Linked DNA regions of Mus musculus. The protein of the gene in region 4 binds, or shares a complex with, the protein of the main gene of each other region. Links are inferred from orthologs where the notes say so. Each region holds a gene or a part of one and is shown on either strand. Other genes may lie near its edges. The genes, in order: Gpaa1, Pigt, Pigu and Pigs.

What was found.
Region 1: Pigs (region 4) and Gpaa1 share a complex: the UniProt entries of both Homo sapiens proteins name them as parts of the GPI-anchor transamidase complex. The link is inferred for Mus musculus from reciprocal best matches to the Homo sapiens genes PIGS and GPAA1.
Region 2: the proteins of Pigs (region 4) and Pigt are in contact, whole or in part, in a cryo-EM structure (PDB 8IMY), measured with the Homo sapiens proteins. The link is inferred for Mus musculus from reciprocal best matches to the Homo sapiens genes PIGS and PIGT. Residues at the interface, in NP_149975.1 of Homo sapiens: Thr9, Glu12, Val13, Gly16, Ala19, Ala20, Phe23, Thr230, Pro238, Lys239, Tyr244, Ile247, Glu248, Val251, Gln256, Val270, Asp271, Ser272, Gln273, Ile274, Tyr276, Tyr277, Met279, Ser309, Arg310, Ser313, Ser314, Ala315, Ala316, Phe513; in NP_057021.2 of Homo sapiens: Pro26, Arg27, Val63, Ser64, His65, Tyr66, Arg67, Lys71, Gln75, Lys79, Tyr80, Val133, Gly136, Lys191, Leu193, Pro194, Cys195, Ser196, Lys198, Ala199, Glu270, Pro271, Pro273, Leu274, Tyr526, Ile529, Cys530, Cys533, Val536, Ala537.
Region 3: the proteins of Pigs (region 4) and Pigu are in contact, whole or in part, in a cryo-EM structure (PDB 8IMX), measured with the Homo sapiens proteins. The link is inferred for Mus musculus from reciprocal best matches to the Homo sapiens genes PIGS and PIGU. Residues at the interface, in NP_149975.1 of Homo sapiens: Ala4, Gly5, Ala8, Thr9, Glu12, Arg15, Arg18, Ala19, Phe22, Phe23, Val26, Leu30, Leu34, Trp35, Thr38, Thr39, Leu510, Leu511, Phe513, Ile521, Tyr522, Leu525, Phe526; in NP_536724.1 of Homo sapiens: Gln118, Phe282, Glu283, His284, Phe285, Leu287, Phe288, Phe289, Cys291, Val292, Phe293, Ile295, Phe299, Tyr300, Ile302, Pro303, Ile306, Lys307, Lys309, Glu310, Thr417, His418.

Annotation. Positions count from the first base shown.
Region 1 is NC_000081.6:76,330,010-76,334,120, forward strand, and holds the start of Gpaa1 (glycosylphosphatidylinositol anchor attachment 1 protein), read left to right. Parts: upstream 1-1,284; 5' UTR 1,285-1,380; coding exon 1,381-1,454; intron 1,455-1,886; coding exon 1,887-2,066; intron 2,067-2,150; coding exon 2,151-2,262; exon of another isoform or gene 2,263-2,278; intron 2,279-2,474; coding exon 2,475-2,622; intron 2,623-2,700; coding exon 2,701-2,802; intron 2,803-2,893; coding exon 2,894-3,090; exon of another isoform or gene 3,091-3,155; coding exon of another isoform or gene 3,156-3,167; coding exon 3,168-3,364; intron 3,365-3,454; coding exon 3,455-3,608; intron 3,609-3,785; coding exon 3,786-3,881; intron 3,882-4,004; coding exon 4,005-4,111. UniProt on the Homo sapiens protein: Component of the glycosylphosphatidylinositol-anchor (GPI-anchor) transamidase (GPI-T) complex that catalyzes the formation of the linkage between a proprotein and a GPI-anchor and participates in GPI anchored protein biosynthesis. Binds GPI-anchor.
Region 2 is NC_000068.7:164,496,269-164,500,402, forward strand, and holds the start of Pigt (GPI transamidase component PIG-T isoform 1 precursor), read left to right. Parts: upstream 1-1,290; coding exon 1,291-1,489; intron 1,490-1,597; coding exon 1,598-1,775; intron 1,776-2,220; exon of another isoform or gene 2,221-3,416; intron 3,417-3,463; exon of another isoform or gene 3,464-3,526; coding exon 3,527-3,654; intron 3,655-3,813; coding exon of another isoform or gene 3,814-3,922; coding exon 3,923-4,023; intron 4,024-4,134. UniProt on the Homo sapiens protein: Component of the glycosylphosphatidylinositol-anchor (GPI-anchor) transamidase (GPI-T) complex that catalyzes the formation of the linkage between a proprotein and a GPI-anchor and participates in GPI anchored protein biosynthesis.
Region 3 is NC_000068.7:155,294,886-155,298,444, reverse strand, and holds part of Pigu (phosphatidylinositol glycan anchor biosynthesis class U protein precursor), read left to right. Parts: intron 1-1,237; coding exon 1,238-1,362; intron 1,363-3,559. UniProt on the Homo sapiens protein: Component of the glycosylphosphatidylinositol-anchor (GPI-anchor) transamidase (GPI-T) complex that catalyzes the formation of the linkage between a proprotein and a GPI-anchor and participates in GPI anchored protein biosynthesis.
Region 4 is NC_000077.6:78,334,890-78,338,448, forward strand, and holds part of Pigs (GPI transamidase component PIG-S), read left to right. Parts: intron 1-537; coding exon 538-745; intron 746-1,798; coding exon 1,799-1,941; intron 1,942-2,899; coding exon 2,900-3,014; intron 3,015-3,559. UniProt on the Homo sapiens protein: Component of the glycosylphosphatidylinositol-anchor (GPI-anchor) transamidase (GPI-T) complex that catalyzes the formation of the linkage between a proprotein and a GPI-anchor and participates in GPI anchored protein biosynthesis.

The DNA.
Region 1 (4,111 bases), on a different chromosome or scaffold from region 4:
TCAATTAGGCAGGGTTTTTATACTAGTTTGATCAGGGAGCAGGGGTCTCCTGCCTGTCAGTTGCCTTATTTCGCAAAGTTATCTTTTTTTTTTTCCTGTTTTTTTGAGACAGGGTTTCTCTGTGTAGCCCTGGCTGTCCTGGAACTCACTCTGTAGACCAGGCCTGCCTCTGCCTCCTGAGTGCTGGGATTAAAGGCGTGTGCCACCACCGCCCGGCACAAAGAGGTATCTCGATGCACAGGGTTTGGTCAGTGATGAGCAATTTATCTGTAACCGTTGCAATGGTAGGCACTTTCCCTCTATTTCCCTGATTGGCTCTGGCCCAGGGCAGTTTCTTCTTGGACTTGTCGGTGGTATTTCTATTAACCACAGTTCAAACCGGGGACCAACAAACTCAAGTTGGAATCAGCTTACAAATTGGAGTTTCCCCCTTCGCCTATGTTGGTCACTCAAGTCCTCCAGCTAAGGAGTGTGCCATGCTTACACAGCCCATCAGGGACAGGAGCACAAGGCCGAGGTTGCACTCAGCTGGCTATGGGTGTCCATCATTAAGAGATGACATTATGACGTAACGGCAAAATTAGCTATTCAGAATCAGCCAAATAATTTTATGTTTGAGGATCATCACAACATGAGGAACGGTATTAAAGGTCAGAATGTTAAGAACCACTGGACTAATGTCTTCTTTCCTTGGGCCTTTCCTCCCGCTTACTTTGGGCTCTAGGAGGATAGCCACCTTTTGTTGCTTCTTGGCCATCTATCCTTAGGCCCTTACCCCTGCAACCTTTTAGAGAAACTACCTTCATCGCCACCACCACCCATCTCCTCTGGCCACCAACTCGCCCACTGTGCCAGTGAGCCCACTGTCTTAAGGTTCATGACATCCACAGAAATGATTTAGCGTCGAATCCTCAGTTCACACGGGTCCCTCAAGTCATAGCTACAACACTGTCATTCAGTATCTCACTTCAGCAGGCATCAGTCTTTTCTCGTCGTTCTAGCTCTCTACCCACCTGCGTTACACTCCCGAGAACCTTTAGGCAGGCACACTGTCGCTGCTCTGTCGTGAGATCCGCCAGCGTCCCGCCTTCCAGCTGCTCGCCCGCAGCTTCACAGCCCCAGGTTCCAGTTCCGCCCACTGGCCATGACTGCATCCCGTACTTCTCCAGCCTACCTCAGTTTTGAGCACGCGCAGAGCTGGCGACCTCAGTTGTGAGCATGCGCACAATCTGGTTTCCCAACTCCGTCTGCCGCTACCAAGAGTAGTGGCGCGATGGATCCTGGGACCGGAAATTAAGGCAGCACCGGGCGCCGGGTCCGACAGGAACCCTGCTCTTGGAGGTGTCAAGCTGCCGCGAGAGCAGAGCCCCGCGCCCCGCCATGGGTCTCCTGTCGGACCCGGTGCGCCGGCGCGCGCTCGCCCGCATCGTCTTGCGCCTTAACACACCTCTCTGGTGAGGGCGGGCACAGGGGGCGGGACTGGCGGGAACTTGAGCTGCTGTGGCTCCACACGCGCCTACTGCTCCAGGGTCTGCGACCTCTTTGCAAGTGTCACTCAGACACTGAGCTTAGAGCTCTGGTCCCTATCCATCGCTGATCTAGGGTCTTAGATCTTTTTTCCTTTCCGGAGGCAGGATTTCTCTGTGCAGCCCTGGTTGTCCTGGAACTTATTCTGTAGACCAGACTAGCCTCGAACTCAGATCCGCCTGTACCTGCCTCTGCCCCCTGAATGCTGGGATTAACAGCGTGTGCTGCCACTGCCCGGCTTTGGCTCCGGGTTCTTAATGGCTTGGACCATCCCGCTGGACCCTCTGGGTCATGGTGGAAGCCACGAGCTAGCGTTCCAGGTCGGGCTAATTCCGAGCCCACTCTGTACTCTCTCGCAGTGTGCTGAGCTACGTGGCCGGGATCGCCTGGTTTCTGGCGCTGGCTTTTCCGCCGTTAACCCAGCGCACTTACATGTCTGAGAATGCCATGGGCTCCACCATGGTGGAGGAACAGTTTGTAGGTGGAGACCGCGCTCGGAGCTTTGCCCGGGACTTCGCTGCCCACCGCAAGAAGCCGGGGTGAGTGCCTAGCAGCGGGCTGGGGATTTCAGGGGCGGCCGAGACCAGGGAGCTCTACTTAGAGGCTATCTTTTGTGTCTCCAGGGCTCTGCCAGTAGCCTGGCTGGAACGGTCCATGCGATCCGTAGGGCTGGAGGTCTACACCCAGAGCTTCTCCCGCAAACTACCCTTCCCGGATGAGACCCACGAGCGCTATGTATTGAGGGAAAGGGGTGTGCCTGGGAGAAAAGCACATTGGAAGGGTGGCCTGGGTTGGGTGTCTTGTTGAAGTGCCCTGAAACCAAGAAACTCTGGGAGGGATGGTCTGAAGAACTTTAGTGGTGGGCATTGAAGTGCCAGGAAAAAAGACAGGCTTCAGGCTGTCCGCTGGAGGGTCTGCTGAGGCTTTCCCATCAACTCTTTGTGCAGATGGTGTCAGGTACCAACGTGTATGGCATCCTGCGGGCCCCACGTTCTGCCAGTACCGAGTCCCTGGTGCTTACTGTACCCTGTGGTCCAGATGCCACCAATAGCCAGGCTGTGGGGTTGTTGTTGGCACTTGCTGCCCATTTCCGAGGTGAGGCTCTGGGGCTCTGGTCCGGGAGGATTTGACCAATGCCCCAGGCCCTTTGCTGACCCTGCCTTTGGCTTCCAGGGCAGATTTACTGGGCCAAAGATATCATTTTCCTGGTAACAGACCATGATCTTCTGGGCACCGAGGCTTGGCTCGAAGCCTACCATGACATTAATGTTACAGGTAGGTGTAGCCCTAGTCTTGCTCCCCATCTCTTTCAAAGTAAACCGCGGTCCCTTGTGCCCCCTCTAGTGCTCACTGCTTGCTCCTACAGGCATACAGTCATCTCCCCTGCAGGGCAGGGCTGGAGCCATCCAGGCTGCTGTAGCTCTGGAGCTGAGCAGCGACGTGGTCACCAGCCTCGATGTGACAGTGGAGGGACTCAACGGTCAGCTGCCCAACCTTGATCTGCTCAACCTCTTCCAGACCTTCTGCCAGAAAGGGGGGCTGTTGTGTACACTCCAGGGCAAGGTGGGACCACCCGCTTGGGAGCCTGGGGCTCGTGAGAAGGGGTGAGTCTGTCTGATCCTGTCCCCATGCCTCCAAAGCTGCAGCCCCAGGACTGGACGTCACTCGAAGGGCCGTTGCAGGGTTTGCAGACACTGCTACTCATGGTGCTGCGGCAGGCCTCTGGCCGGCCCCACGGCCCCCACGGCCTTTTTCTGCGCTACGGAGTGGAGGCACTAACCCTACGCGGCATCAATAGCTTCCGCCAATACAAGTATGATTTGGCGACAGTGGGCAAGTAAGTTCTCTGGACCCCTTTCCGTGTTCAAGGTCATGTCTAGCTGGGGTGAGAGGGTGGCTGGCCCTGACCTGACTGTGCTCCTGGCAGGGCTCTGGAGGGCATGTTCCGCAAGCTCAACCACCTCCTGGAGCGCCTGCACCAGTCATTCTTCTTCTACCTGCTGCCGGCCCTCTCCCGCTTTGTCTCCATCGGACTCTACATGCCCGCCACGGGCTTCCTGCTCCTAGTCCTTGGACTCAAGATATCCTCCACCCTCGTGCTCGCTACTCACTTGTGGCCAAACTCACTCAGATCCCTTTAACTATAAAGGGGGGATAGTCCTTCATCCTACATATGGTAGGGATAGGGAAGTGAGCCTAAGATCTCCCACCTAGCAAATCACATCCAATGGCTTGTCTGGGTCCTTGACTTGCTCTATGCTCTGGAGCTGTGGATGCAGTTACACCAGGCTGGAGTCAACCCGGAGGAGGCTGGGAAGGCCCCTAGTCCCGGGACTCCACTCTTGCCAACACAGGTGATGCTATACTCTACTGCTCTTAGGATGGGGGTTTTAACATACCCAGCAGTGCTTTGGTATGCGTCCTTGGGGGTTCTCCTATTCCTCTGGCCTAACTCCAAGTACCCATGTGTCCTGCAGGGTGTGGGCCTGGCCTCACTTACGGCACCCCTGCTGATCTCTCAGGCCATGGGTCTGGCCCTCTATTTCCTGCCTGTGCTGGGCCAACATTTAGCTACTCAGCATTT
Region 2 (4,134 bases), on a different chromosome or scaffold from region 4:
GCAGCCATCCTACTCCTAAATATTCTCCCAAGGGACATGATAACCTAAGTGTGCAAAGCCACTTGTACAGACTATAATCATCCTTGCCTACTATAACCAAAACTACCAAGCACTCCTTTGCCCATGGAGTGTCTCCAGTGGAGAAACTGGCTTACCCACACAATGTTAGCACTGCACAGCAGTAAATAACCTTATACACATGAGAACACGAGGCCAATCAGCACTGTTTCCCTAGAGATGAGGAAAGGATGTAGAGCCAACTCCCATGAAGCTATGGTTTCTGTCTCTAAACCACAATGTGGTTTCAAAATCATTCCTTTCAGGAAAGAACACACAAAACCTCATACTATGCTGTCATTTACATTTAGTCCTAGAACAGATTAATCTATTACAAGAACACTGGTTGCCTCTACAATGTGTTCTGGAGATAGATGTTGACAGGAAAGAGGCATTAGACCATTTTCTGGGACCTTAGGTGGGACTTTAAGTTTAGGGCTTCCCTCCCAATACACATTGCTATGTCGAGTATGAACCCAAGGTCTCATGCCTACTAGGCACTCTGCCACTGAGTTAGTTTCATCCCCAGCCCCAGTTCTTAGGAACATTCTATATCTCCGTAAGATTTGGAGTTACAATATTTTATTAATTAAAACCCAGGTAATTTTATGAGAAAATTTTGAACGAAACTAAATTTTGACAATGCAGAATACCCATGTGTGAAATTTACTCCGTGATGGAATCAATGCTATAATAGATGAGTGGGCTTGTTGGTGTGTACCCATAGCAACATGTTAATGGTGGAATTAATTTACATGGTTGGAGGAACATGTTTAATAGCTGCTAATTCTTTCAATTTTGCCATACACTCTTATTTATTTTATTATATTCTTTTATTAAGACCACAGGGAGGGGGTAGGACAGCTCTGCCCTCACCGTTGCGGGCTAGGTTTTGAGCCAAGTAAATAGAGTCACTGGACGGTTCTACCTCACGCCTGTAATAGCAGCACTTGGTACCGGGATGGCCACACTGCATATCGAGCACTTCCTAGCTGGTGAAAGCACCTATAGGTGCGCGGGCCCTCAAGCCAGCTCTCTTCCTCCGCCACACGCCCACACCCCTTCAGGCCAGGTCGGCAAAATCCACGATCTGTTGACGGACCTCCGTGTCCCTCCGGTAACCTCGGAGTGGTTTCCGGGACGGCGCCGGAAGTCCTCTCTCATCCGGCTTCCTATTGGATGACCGCCTTTGGTGGGCGCGGGCGATGCTGGGAGGCGGAAGCGGCCGCAGGTATGGCGGCTGCCATGCCGCTCGGTTTGCCGTTGCGGTTACTGGTGCTGTTGCTGGTGGGACGGGGCTGCTGTGGCTGCGCGGAGGGCCCACGCGACAGCCTGCGAGAAGAGCTCGTTATCACTCCACTGCCTTCCGGCGACGTGGCCGCCACATTCCAGTTCCGCACGCGTTGGGATTCGGATCTGCAGCGGGAAGGAGGTGAGTTCAGGACCCCAGGAAAATGTCTGCAGCACCTTGCTCAGTTCCTAAAGAGAGCTACTCAGGGGTGGGGCTTGGGTCGCCGCTCACCTGCCTTGCTTTCTTCAGTGTCCCATTACAGGCTCTTCCCTAAAGCCCTGGGACAGCTGATCTCCAAGTACTCCCTGCGGGAGCTCCACCTGTCGTTCACGCAAGGCTTTTGGAGGACGCGATACTGGGGGCCACCCTTCCTGCAGGCTCCGTCAGGTGCAGAGCTCTGGGTCTGGTTCCAAGACACTGTCACCGAGTGAGTTCCTAACTTGACACCTGTCACAGGCCATGGAGGGGGTGTGGCAGGCAAAGTGTTGTCATCTTGTCATTGGCCTTGGGATCTGCTACTCCAGTAGGTAGCGGTCACACCAAGTTAAAACTGATTTTGGAAGTAAGGATTAATATTACAGGGCTGGAGCGATGCCCCAGTCAGTAAAATGCTTGCTACTCAAGCTTGACGACCTGAGTTTCATTTTCCAGAACCTACATTAAAAGTCGGGTTGCTGCTGCCGGCTTCTAGGCCCATAACTGAGGAGGTGGAGACAGGAGGAACAGGACTGCTGGAAGCCAGTATGCCTGAATCAGTGACTTCCAAGATCAGTGACAGAAGTACCCCCCTACACACACACACACACACACACACACAAACAAAGTACAGAGGGAATAAAAGAGACATTGGTTGCTGATTTCTGGCCCTCACAGCTATTTGCATCAGTATGCATGCACATACAACATGAAGAAATTACATTATTATTGAGTGAACATCGTCTCCTGAAAACTTCCAAGTCTGAGGTACTACATGCATTTCTCGAGGCAAAGAGTAGGTGGTTGGTTCCTATTATTGGGATATAAGGTCACAGATAATTGGCAGACTAGGTGTGTTGTTTTTGTTTTTAAGACATTTGTTTGTATTAAAAAAAAACAAACAATACCCATGCCTAACAAAACATTTGTGGGATAGCAGTGGGCTACAGGATGGTCTTTGTGAAATAAAGCAAGAGTTTCACTTTAAAGCATAATCAAGTTTCTAGCTGTTGTCTGTGAACTACAGAAAATCGCCCAGTAGCTGCTGTGATCTTCCTAGAGTAGAATTTTTTCCATGCAGAGATTGCAAACTTATCTCAGCATAGGCCACAAAATACCGATGACAGAGGGAGTTAAAGCATTGGTGAAACCCTGGAGTGAGAATTTAAGGGTGTCTCATTTGCCTCTTAACTACCCTGCAACATCAGTAATGCAGACATTACCAGGTTTAGAGCCCTGATAGGGAGGGTTAGGGTTAAGAGTCTGTGTGACGATCTGAAATAGTCACCACTCAGTTCCTATGGATTGTAACCTTATGACAGTTCTGACTGTCACTTTCAAGAGAGATCAGACTTTTGCATGAGGAAGGACATGTAAATATCAACAAGTAGTTTTAAAGTTTTTGGAAAGCTGTGTAGGTTGGTATTATGCACAGCAGATGTAGCAGGTGCTTAGGGCGATGAGCTGCTGCCACCTAGCCATCGCCTAGAAGGGGCTTAAGTGGGGTCTTGGACTCTCAGAAGCACAACACTACAGACCGTGCTTGAGGTGAGCAGAAAAGGCTCCTTGGGTAAGACCAGATAAGACCTCTCTGGATAAGACCAGAGCAGGACTTTGAAGGCGACAGAACCATGAGCAGAGTGTTCCCAGGCAAGATGGACACTTGAACAAAGACCTGCAGGGCTGCTGAGATGCCCAGAGAGGGCGCTAAGGAGGTAAGGCGAGGCAGGGGCATCCCTGAGCATCATCTGGCTTGTCTCATGGTTGAGATGCAGCTTCACTCTACCATAGACTTGGCAGTCAGCTGTGGCTGTATTAAGGAGGCCACACAGGATTTGGGGTTCCGAGGCTGTAACCCCAGGCCAGTGAGTAGGTTTGTCTCTGTCTAGTGTGGATCTGTAACCACAGGCCAGTGAGTAGGTTTGTCTCTGTCTAGTGTGGATCTGTAACCACAGGCCAGTGAGTAGGTTTGTCTCTGTCTAGTGTGGATAAGTCCTGGAGGGAGCTCAGCAATGTCCTCTCGGGGATCTTCTGTGCATCCCTCAACTTCATCGACGCCACCAATACCGTCACTCCCACCGCCTCCTTCAAACCTCTGGGACTGGCCAATGGTGAGATAGCCCCGGGCCTTTCCTCCTTGTACCCTCCATGTTCGCATCCTTCCCCTTGGGCTCCTCTTCCACAGCGGGGCTAGATGCTAAATGTGGTGGGTGTACAGGTCCCAGGTAGCTTCCTAAGACTGCTGTCTCTGCATTGCTTCCTCCCTGGAGTCCCACCTGGAGGGGGGACCACTTGGCGGTAGTACTAGAGTGGTCCAGCAGTGGGTGGATGAGGTCACCTACATCTCGGAGGGACAGGACCCAGCTCTGTCTCCCTCAGACACTGACGACTACTTCCTGCGCTACGCTGTGCTGCCTCGGGAGGTTGTCTGCACTGAGAACCTCACGCCATGGAAGAAGCTCTTGCCCTGCAGTTCCAAGGTGAGTGAGGACGGGTGGGGGGATTGGAGAGGGCAGATGTGTCCCTCACAGCCTGGCAGCCAGGGTATAGTTAAGGGAATCTGTGCCCTCATGTCAAGTGGGGTACTGACC
Region 3 (3,559 bases), on a different chromosome or scaffold from region 4:
GGGCCATGCCAGGCTCCTAAGGAGAACACTGCTGTGGTTCCATCCCCCTGGTGGTTCCATCCCCCTGGCTCCAGAGCAGCTGACAAAGACCTTCATAAGCAGGCATCTAGCTCTCGTGCAGAAGTCAACCTCTGCTTGTGTCGAGGGGCTGGCTGTTCCAAGGAATGTGCCCCATGCTCTCCTCACCTTTGCTGTGAGACATGTGAAATACCCAGGAGAAAAGCATGGTGGATTAGGAGCTCTGCAGACAGATCCAGGCTCCATCACTGACTTCACTTCTCTGGGAAGGACAGGGGACAAGAATCTCTGCCTAGAAGGCTGGCCTTGGTGTTGTGAGGATCCTCTGAGATGACGCAGGAGAAACTTTGCACAGAGCTCAGCATAGAAAGGGGGCTCAGGAGAGAGGAGCCATGGTAGTTTATTAATTTAAGCCAGTTTTAGCTGTTACTAGTTGTAGGTCCCCAGAATTCTGTTTCAGAGAGAGACATGGTAGCTCTCTGTAATCTTAGCACCTAGGAAGTAGAGGCAAGAGGATCATGAGTTCAAGGCTAGCCTCATCTACATAGTCACTAGGACAGCCTGTTCTACATGAGGCCCTATATCAAAAGAGAATTTTGGCCCCTGAAGAGCTGAAAATGCTGAGTGTAACTCTCGGTGCTCTTGTTTCTCTGACTGTAAACAGTAAGCAAGCCATCAGCCAGCAGGCACTTCCTGTCTTGGGACCTGTCGCAGCGACCTTTGCCTGATTTCTCTTGACAAGCAGTCATTTAGGATTCTAATAAGAAATGCTTAACTTTTTTTTTTTTCAAGACATGGTTTCTCTGTGTACCTTTGGCTGCTCTGAAACTCACTCTGCCTGCCTCTGCCTCCTAAGTCCTGGGAATAAAAGTGTGCACCACCACCACCCTGATAAGGAATGCTAACTTCATTTGCTTCCTTTGGTTCCCGGGGGCATGCTGAAAGCTAGTACAGACAGGAGGAAGCCACTGGTGGGCAATGTCCCTATAAACTGGTGTTTGTCTGGTCTTCCTTGCCACCTCTGGGCATTTGATATCTGTAGTTTCCTGCCCTGCTACTGAAGCCTGGCTCATGCATGCCTTGTGAGTAGTAAGGCAGCCTTTGCCTGAAGGACCCCTAGGGAGTACTTTTGGTTGGTGAGGTAGGATCAGGGGTCTCTAAGGTGGGCCTAGTCCCTGGCTAATCTCTCTGCCTGTTTGTCTTCCCTGCCCTGCTCCAGGGAGCATCCCATCTTCTTCATGTTCATTCAGATTGCCATCATCTCTATCTTCAAGTCCTATCCAACTGTGGGGGATGTGGCCCTCTACATGGCTTTCTTCCCTGTGTGGAACCATCTCTACAGATGTGAGTATTCTGACTTTCCTCACTAGGGATAGATTCAAGTGCAGCTAACTGCTAGGCGAAATAGCTGGGAGAAGGAATTGATATGCATTTACTGGGCACCCATTGCTGGTAGCACCGAGAAAGAGGAGGCCACTGAAGCATGCATGTGCCTCTGTGCCTCCTGGTCCTGTGGTCAGTGACAAAGAACAATCGCTTAGAGCATGTGACTGTGTTCCTGACTGCTGTTGGTCATTTTGTCTTTGCATCAGCTTTGGAGGTAAGTATTTCCTTATACAGATGAGAAAACTGAGGTACAAAAAGATAGAGCCACTTGTTCAAGGTCCTGTGACTGCTAAATAGAAAGACTAGGAATTGGAGCCTAGCTCTCTAGGCCTTGCCCAGTGCTGTCCAACCTCGCTGTTTGTAATGATGACCGTGTCTAGTCTGTATTCTAATAGAGTGGCTACTAATATTATACAGAAACTAAGTTTTTTCTTTCTTTTCTCCTCTATTTCCAGCTTTGTGGCATAGGGTTTCATATTGCCCAAACTGGCCTTAAGCTCACTGTATAGCTGAAGATTACCTTGAACTCCTGATCCTTCTGCCTTCACCTCTCAGATCCAGGTTTACTGGTGTATACTGTCATGGACAGATTTTTTTCCATTAGTTTATTTGTTTGTTTGTTTGAGACAGATCCTAGACTGTAGCCAAGGCTATCCTGAAACTCACTATATAGCCTAGGCTGTCCTAAAATTAGAAGAAGTCATCCTATCTTAACTTCCTGAATACTGAGACTACAAAGAAGAGCCATGGTGTCAGTAGAAACTGAAATTCTTGTTTAAAATTAAATGTATGAAGCTACATGTGACCAAGCTTCTTATTGGACAGTGGTCAAGCTTCTTATTGAACAAGTGCAACTGTAGCCTTTGGCTATGAACATAGGACTTCCTGCTTCCTATAAAGACCCTTCTCAATTCTACCCATTTCTCCCGAGGCTCCTGTAGGGTAAGATATCCTTACACCCAACATGGATTCTAACACAAAAGAATCAGCAAATGACAGGGCAGTGTGGCACACAACTTTAATGCTAGTACTTGGGAGGCAGAGGCAGGAGGATCTCTGAGTTTGAGGCCAGCCTGTTCAGCATAGTGAAGCCAAGACTACACAGAGAAACCTTGTCTTGAAAAACAACAACAATCGAAAAAGGGGGGAAAAGAGTCTGCAAATGTATGTAGAAGGCTGCTGAAGCCTCCCCTCCCCGTGAGGGAAGCAGAGCCCAGGTACCTTCCTGGTTCTCTCAAGGAGCTGCGATATGCAGCCAAGCGTCAGAAGCGAACTCCTAGAGCAAGCTGCCCAAGAAGTTAGTTCCTGTTGTTTTGTCTGGGTGTCAAGCAGGAAGTGAAACTGACCAGCTGTGAGTAGGAAACCTACCTGTGAGTGTAGCCCCGGAGTGAAGGTAAACAGTGAAGTGGGCAGACCACGCCCAGGCCAGGTGTGTCTCTCAGGCCTGGTTAGAATGGTGACCAATCTGAGCTGACTGAGAGGAGGTGGCATCTTCTGCTTGTGACATCCTCATTTCACAGATAAGAATCACCCAGTGATGAATCACAGGCAATTGGAATATATAGACATGCCTTGGTCTGTGGGAGGGTAGGGCTTCAGGCACTGGTCTTTCCCTGTCCCAACCAGGTTGTTTTCGTTAGCTGTCCGTCCTAAAGAGGGCATTGCCCTTCCTCAGAGGCGTTGTGTAGCATTCTCACGTTGCTGAATTCAGTTTGTAGACAGACAGACTACAGCTTGAGTCTACACTCTGCCTTTCCCAGGCAGCTTCTTTAGCCTTTCTGCGCCTCTGAGTTTTCCTTTTCCGTCCATGAGATGAAGAGAGTAAGTGGAGCTTTCTGGCATGGATCTATAACCCTAACACTTAAGAGGCTGAAGCGGGAGGATAGCAAGTTTGAGGTTAGCCAAGGCTACAAAAGGGAATTCCAGGCCATATGAGACCTGACTCAAAAAAAAAAAAAGTATTTTTCATGGATTTTTTTGGGGGTGTTTTTGTTTTTTGGGTTTTTTTGTTTGTTTGGTTGGTTGGTTGGTTTGGTTTTTCGAGACAGAGTTTCTCTGTGTATCCCTGGCTGTCCTGGAACTCGCTCTGTAGACCAGGCTGCCTCCCAAGTGCTGGGGTTAAAGGCGTGCACCACCACTGCACGGCATGGATATT
Region 4 (3,559 bases):
GACAGAGAGAGACAGAGAGAGACAGAGACAGACAGAGAGACAGAGACACATGACTGGGCAATGGTGGCATACGCCATTAACCCCAACACTGAGGAGGCAGAGGCAGGTGGATCTTTTGAGTTCAAGGCCAGCCTGGTCTACAGAATGAGTTCCAGGACAGCCAGGGATACACAGAAAAGCCTTGTCTTGGGAGAAAAAAATGAAAAACAGAAAAAAAAAAAAAAAGCTCACTACAAGCCCAGAGAGTGGTGCAACCTTTTAGCTGATGGTAATAGGCCAGATTCCTTAAGACAGGAACCAGAACTGGGCTTATGTAATGGTGCATGCTTATAATTCCATCATTTGGAAAGCTGAGGCAGGAGAATCTCAAATTTTAGCCTGAGTTATGTCAAGAGGCTATCTCAAAAAAAAAAAAAAAAAAAAAAAAAAGAAAGAAAGAAAAAGAAAGAAAAAGAAAGAAAAAGAAAAGAAGGATAGAGTGCCTTTATGCTTTCTTCACTGAGCCATGGCGCTCCATCCCTCTGTCCCCCCGCACAGGACATGATGAGCTACATTGGGCCTGAGAGGACGGCAGTTGTCCGGGGGCTGATCCACAGGGAAGCCTTCAACATCATCGGCCGTCGCATAGTCCAGGTCGCCCAGGCCATGTCCTTGACGGAGGATGTGCTTGCTGCTGCCTTGGCCGACCACCTGCCCGAGGACAAGTGGAGCTCTGACAAGAGGCGGCCGCTCAAGTCCAGCTTAGGTAGGGCTTGGGCTTTGTTTTAGGAAGGGAGAAGACGTGAGTCCGGCGGAAGATTTACTTATTTATGTGTATGAGTGTGTTGTCTGCGTGCATGCATGTGTACGGCATGCATGCTTGGAGGTCAGAAGAGGGCGTCAGATCCCCAGGGACTGGAGTGAAGATGGTTGTGAGTCACCATGTGGGTGCTGGGAATTGAACCTGGATCTTCTGCAAGAACAAATACTTTAAAGCTCTAAACCATCTCTCCTCCCTCTGTTTTTTCTTTCTTTTTTTTTTTTGGTATTTCAAGACAGGGTTTCTCTGTGTAGCCCTGGCTGTACTGGAACTCACTTTGTAGCCCAGGCTGGACTCGAACTCAGAAATCTGCCTGACTCTGCCTCCCAAGTGCTGGGATTAAAGGCATGCGCCACCATGCCTGGCCTTTTTCTTTTTTTTTTTTTTTGAGACAGGGTTTCCCTGTGTAGCTCTGGCTGTCCTGGAACTTGCTCTATAGATCAGGCTAACCTTGAATTTAAGAGATTTGCCAATGTCTGCCTCTGGGGTGCTGGGATTAAAGGCATGCACTACCACCACCAGCTGTTTTTTGTTGTTTGTTTGTTTGTTTTCTGAGGCAGCACTAGCTGCCCTAGAACTATGTAGATTATGCTGGCCTTAAACTCACAGACCCTCCTGCCTGTTTCTGGAGTGCAATGATTAAAAGCAGGAGTTACTCTGTTTGGCTTCTCCATTTTTTTTCTTTTTTTTTTCTTTTTTTCTTTTTTTAAGGCAGTGTTTCTCTGTGTAGCCCTGGCTATATCAGACCTCACTTCATAGACCAGGCTGACCTCTAACTCAGATCTGCCTGCCTCTGCTTCCCTCATGCTGGGATCAGAGGTGTGTGCCAGCACTGCCTGGCTCCAGTTTTTCCTTAAGGTACTCAGCAGTGTTCCTTATCTCACTCCTGTCCTCTCTTTGGTCCCTCAGTGGCATCCCTATCCCATCCAGATGACGTGGGATGTAGGCTGCCTCTTTCCTTGATGTACTTCTGAATTCCACGACTCCTCTTTTCTGTAGGCTATGAAATCACTTTCAGTTTACTCAACCCAGACCCCAAGTCCCACGATGTCCACTGGGACATTGAGGGAGCTGTCCAGCGCTTTGTGCAGCCTTTCCTGAATCGCCTCAGTGTTGCGGGCAATTTCTCTGTGGACTCTCAGGTAAGACCAGGAATGAGTTATGGAGCCTTTTCTTTTTCTTTCTTTCTTTCTTTCTTTTTTTTTTTTTTTTTTTTTTTTTTTGGTTTTTCGAGACAGGGTTTCTCTGTGTAGCCTAGATGTCCTGGAACTCACTTTGTAGACCAGGTTGGCCTCAAACTCAGAAATCCGCCTGCCTCTGCCTCCTGAGTGCTGGGATTAAAGGCGTGCACCACCAATGCCCAGCACGGAGCCTTTTTAAAGTCTATACATGTTTAGTGTTTATATGGGCATCTGCTCTCCTTCTCTCAGAGCGTGATGATTTGCTTGTGTAGCTGTGTGTAGGGCAGTGTCGTGTGAGCAGGTACGGGGATGTAGCTTGTAGGAAGCACTGTGTGCACCTGTTTATGTCCGTCAGTCCACTGCTCCCTTGAGGGCATGTTCCGGTGTCCTTTCCTTGGTGTCCAGCTCAGGGAGTGTCACCAGAGTGGCTTGGCAGAGCTACTTCCCAAGTACTAACTCAGGAGTTGTACCTACATGTTAAAGCCATCAGCCACCCTTAAGGAAGTTATTTTTAAAAAGCTTTCTGAAATATGTGAACACTGTAACGATAGAGCCATAAAGCGCCCTGCTTGCTTTCAGTGTCACATCCTGTCCCTGTAGGGAAAGCGTGGGGGACTTGATCAGACCCTGCAGGTGGCAAGGAACCAATGGTCTGAAAAGCAGACTCAATTGGGTCTTGTGGACCCAGTCTTTGTTTGTTCCCCTCTTTGACTTTCTGGGAACCTGGTAAAATAATGTGGTTTTCTAAGTATGTATTTAATACATTAGTTTTACCTTGATTCTGTTATTTCCTTTCATACATGCACTTTGCTTGAGCCTTGTCTTTGTCCTGAGTGTATCTTCACACAGTCCCTGCACTCTTAGAGACAGTAGCCTCTAAGTCCGTGTATGGGATGGCCTGTCCCCCTTCTCTCCACAGATCCTATACTATGCCATGCTCGGCGTGAACCCCCGCTTTGACCCAGCCTCATCCAGCTACTCCTTGGCTATGCACAGCCTGCCCCACGTCATCAACCCAGTGGAGTCCCGACTCGGTGAGCTCCTGAGAGGCCTCTGTCAGGCCAGCGTGGGGTTGGGGACGGCTGGGTGCTTTGATGGTTTCGGGTTTGGATGGGACTGGGAAGGTTTAGTGTCTCTGTCTCTCACTCTGTCTCTCTCTCTGTCTCTCTCTGTCTCTCCCTGTCTCTCTCTCTCTCTCTCTCCCTTTCTCTCCCTCCCTTCCCTCTCCCTTCTCCCCCTCCCCTGCTCCTCCCCCTCCCTCTCCCTCTCTTACCTTTCCTTTGGTTGTTTGAGGCAAACTCTCATATACCTCAGAAAGGTAGAAACTTTATTTTGTTCCGGTTTTTGAGACAGGATCTCATGTATCCTAGGCTGGCTTTAAGCTTCCTGTGTAGCCAAGGCTGGCCTTGAACTCCTGACCCTCCTGTGCTGCCTCCCAGTGCTGAGATTATAGGCATGTGCCGCTATACCTAATTTAAAAAAAAAACACAACCCTAATTTTTCTTCCCTGGTACTAGGGATCAGACTCAGGGTCTTGTGCATAGCAGGCAAGTGTCACTGGGCTACTGCTGCAGCTGCG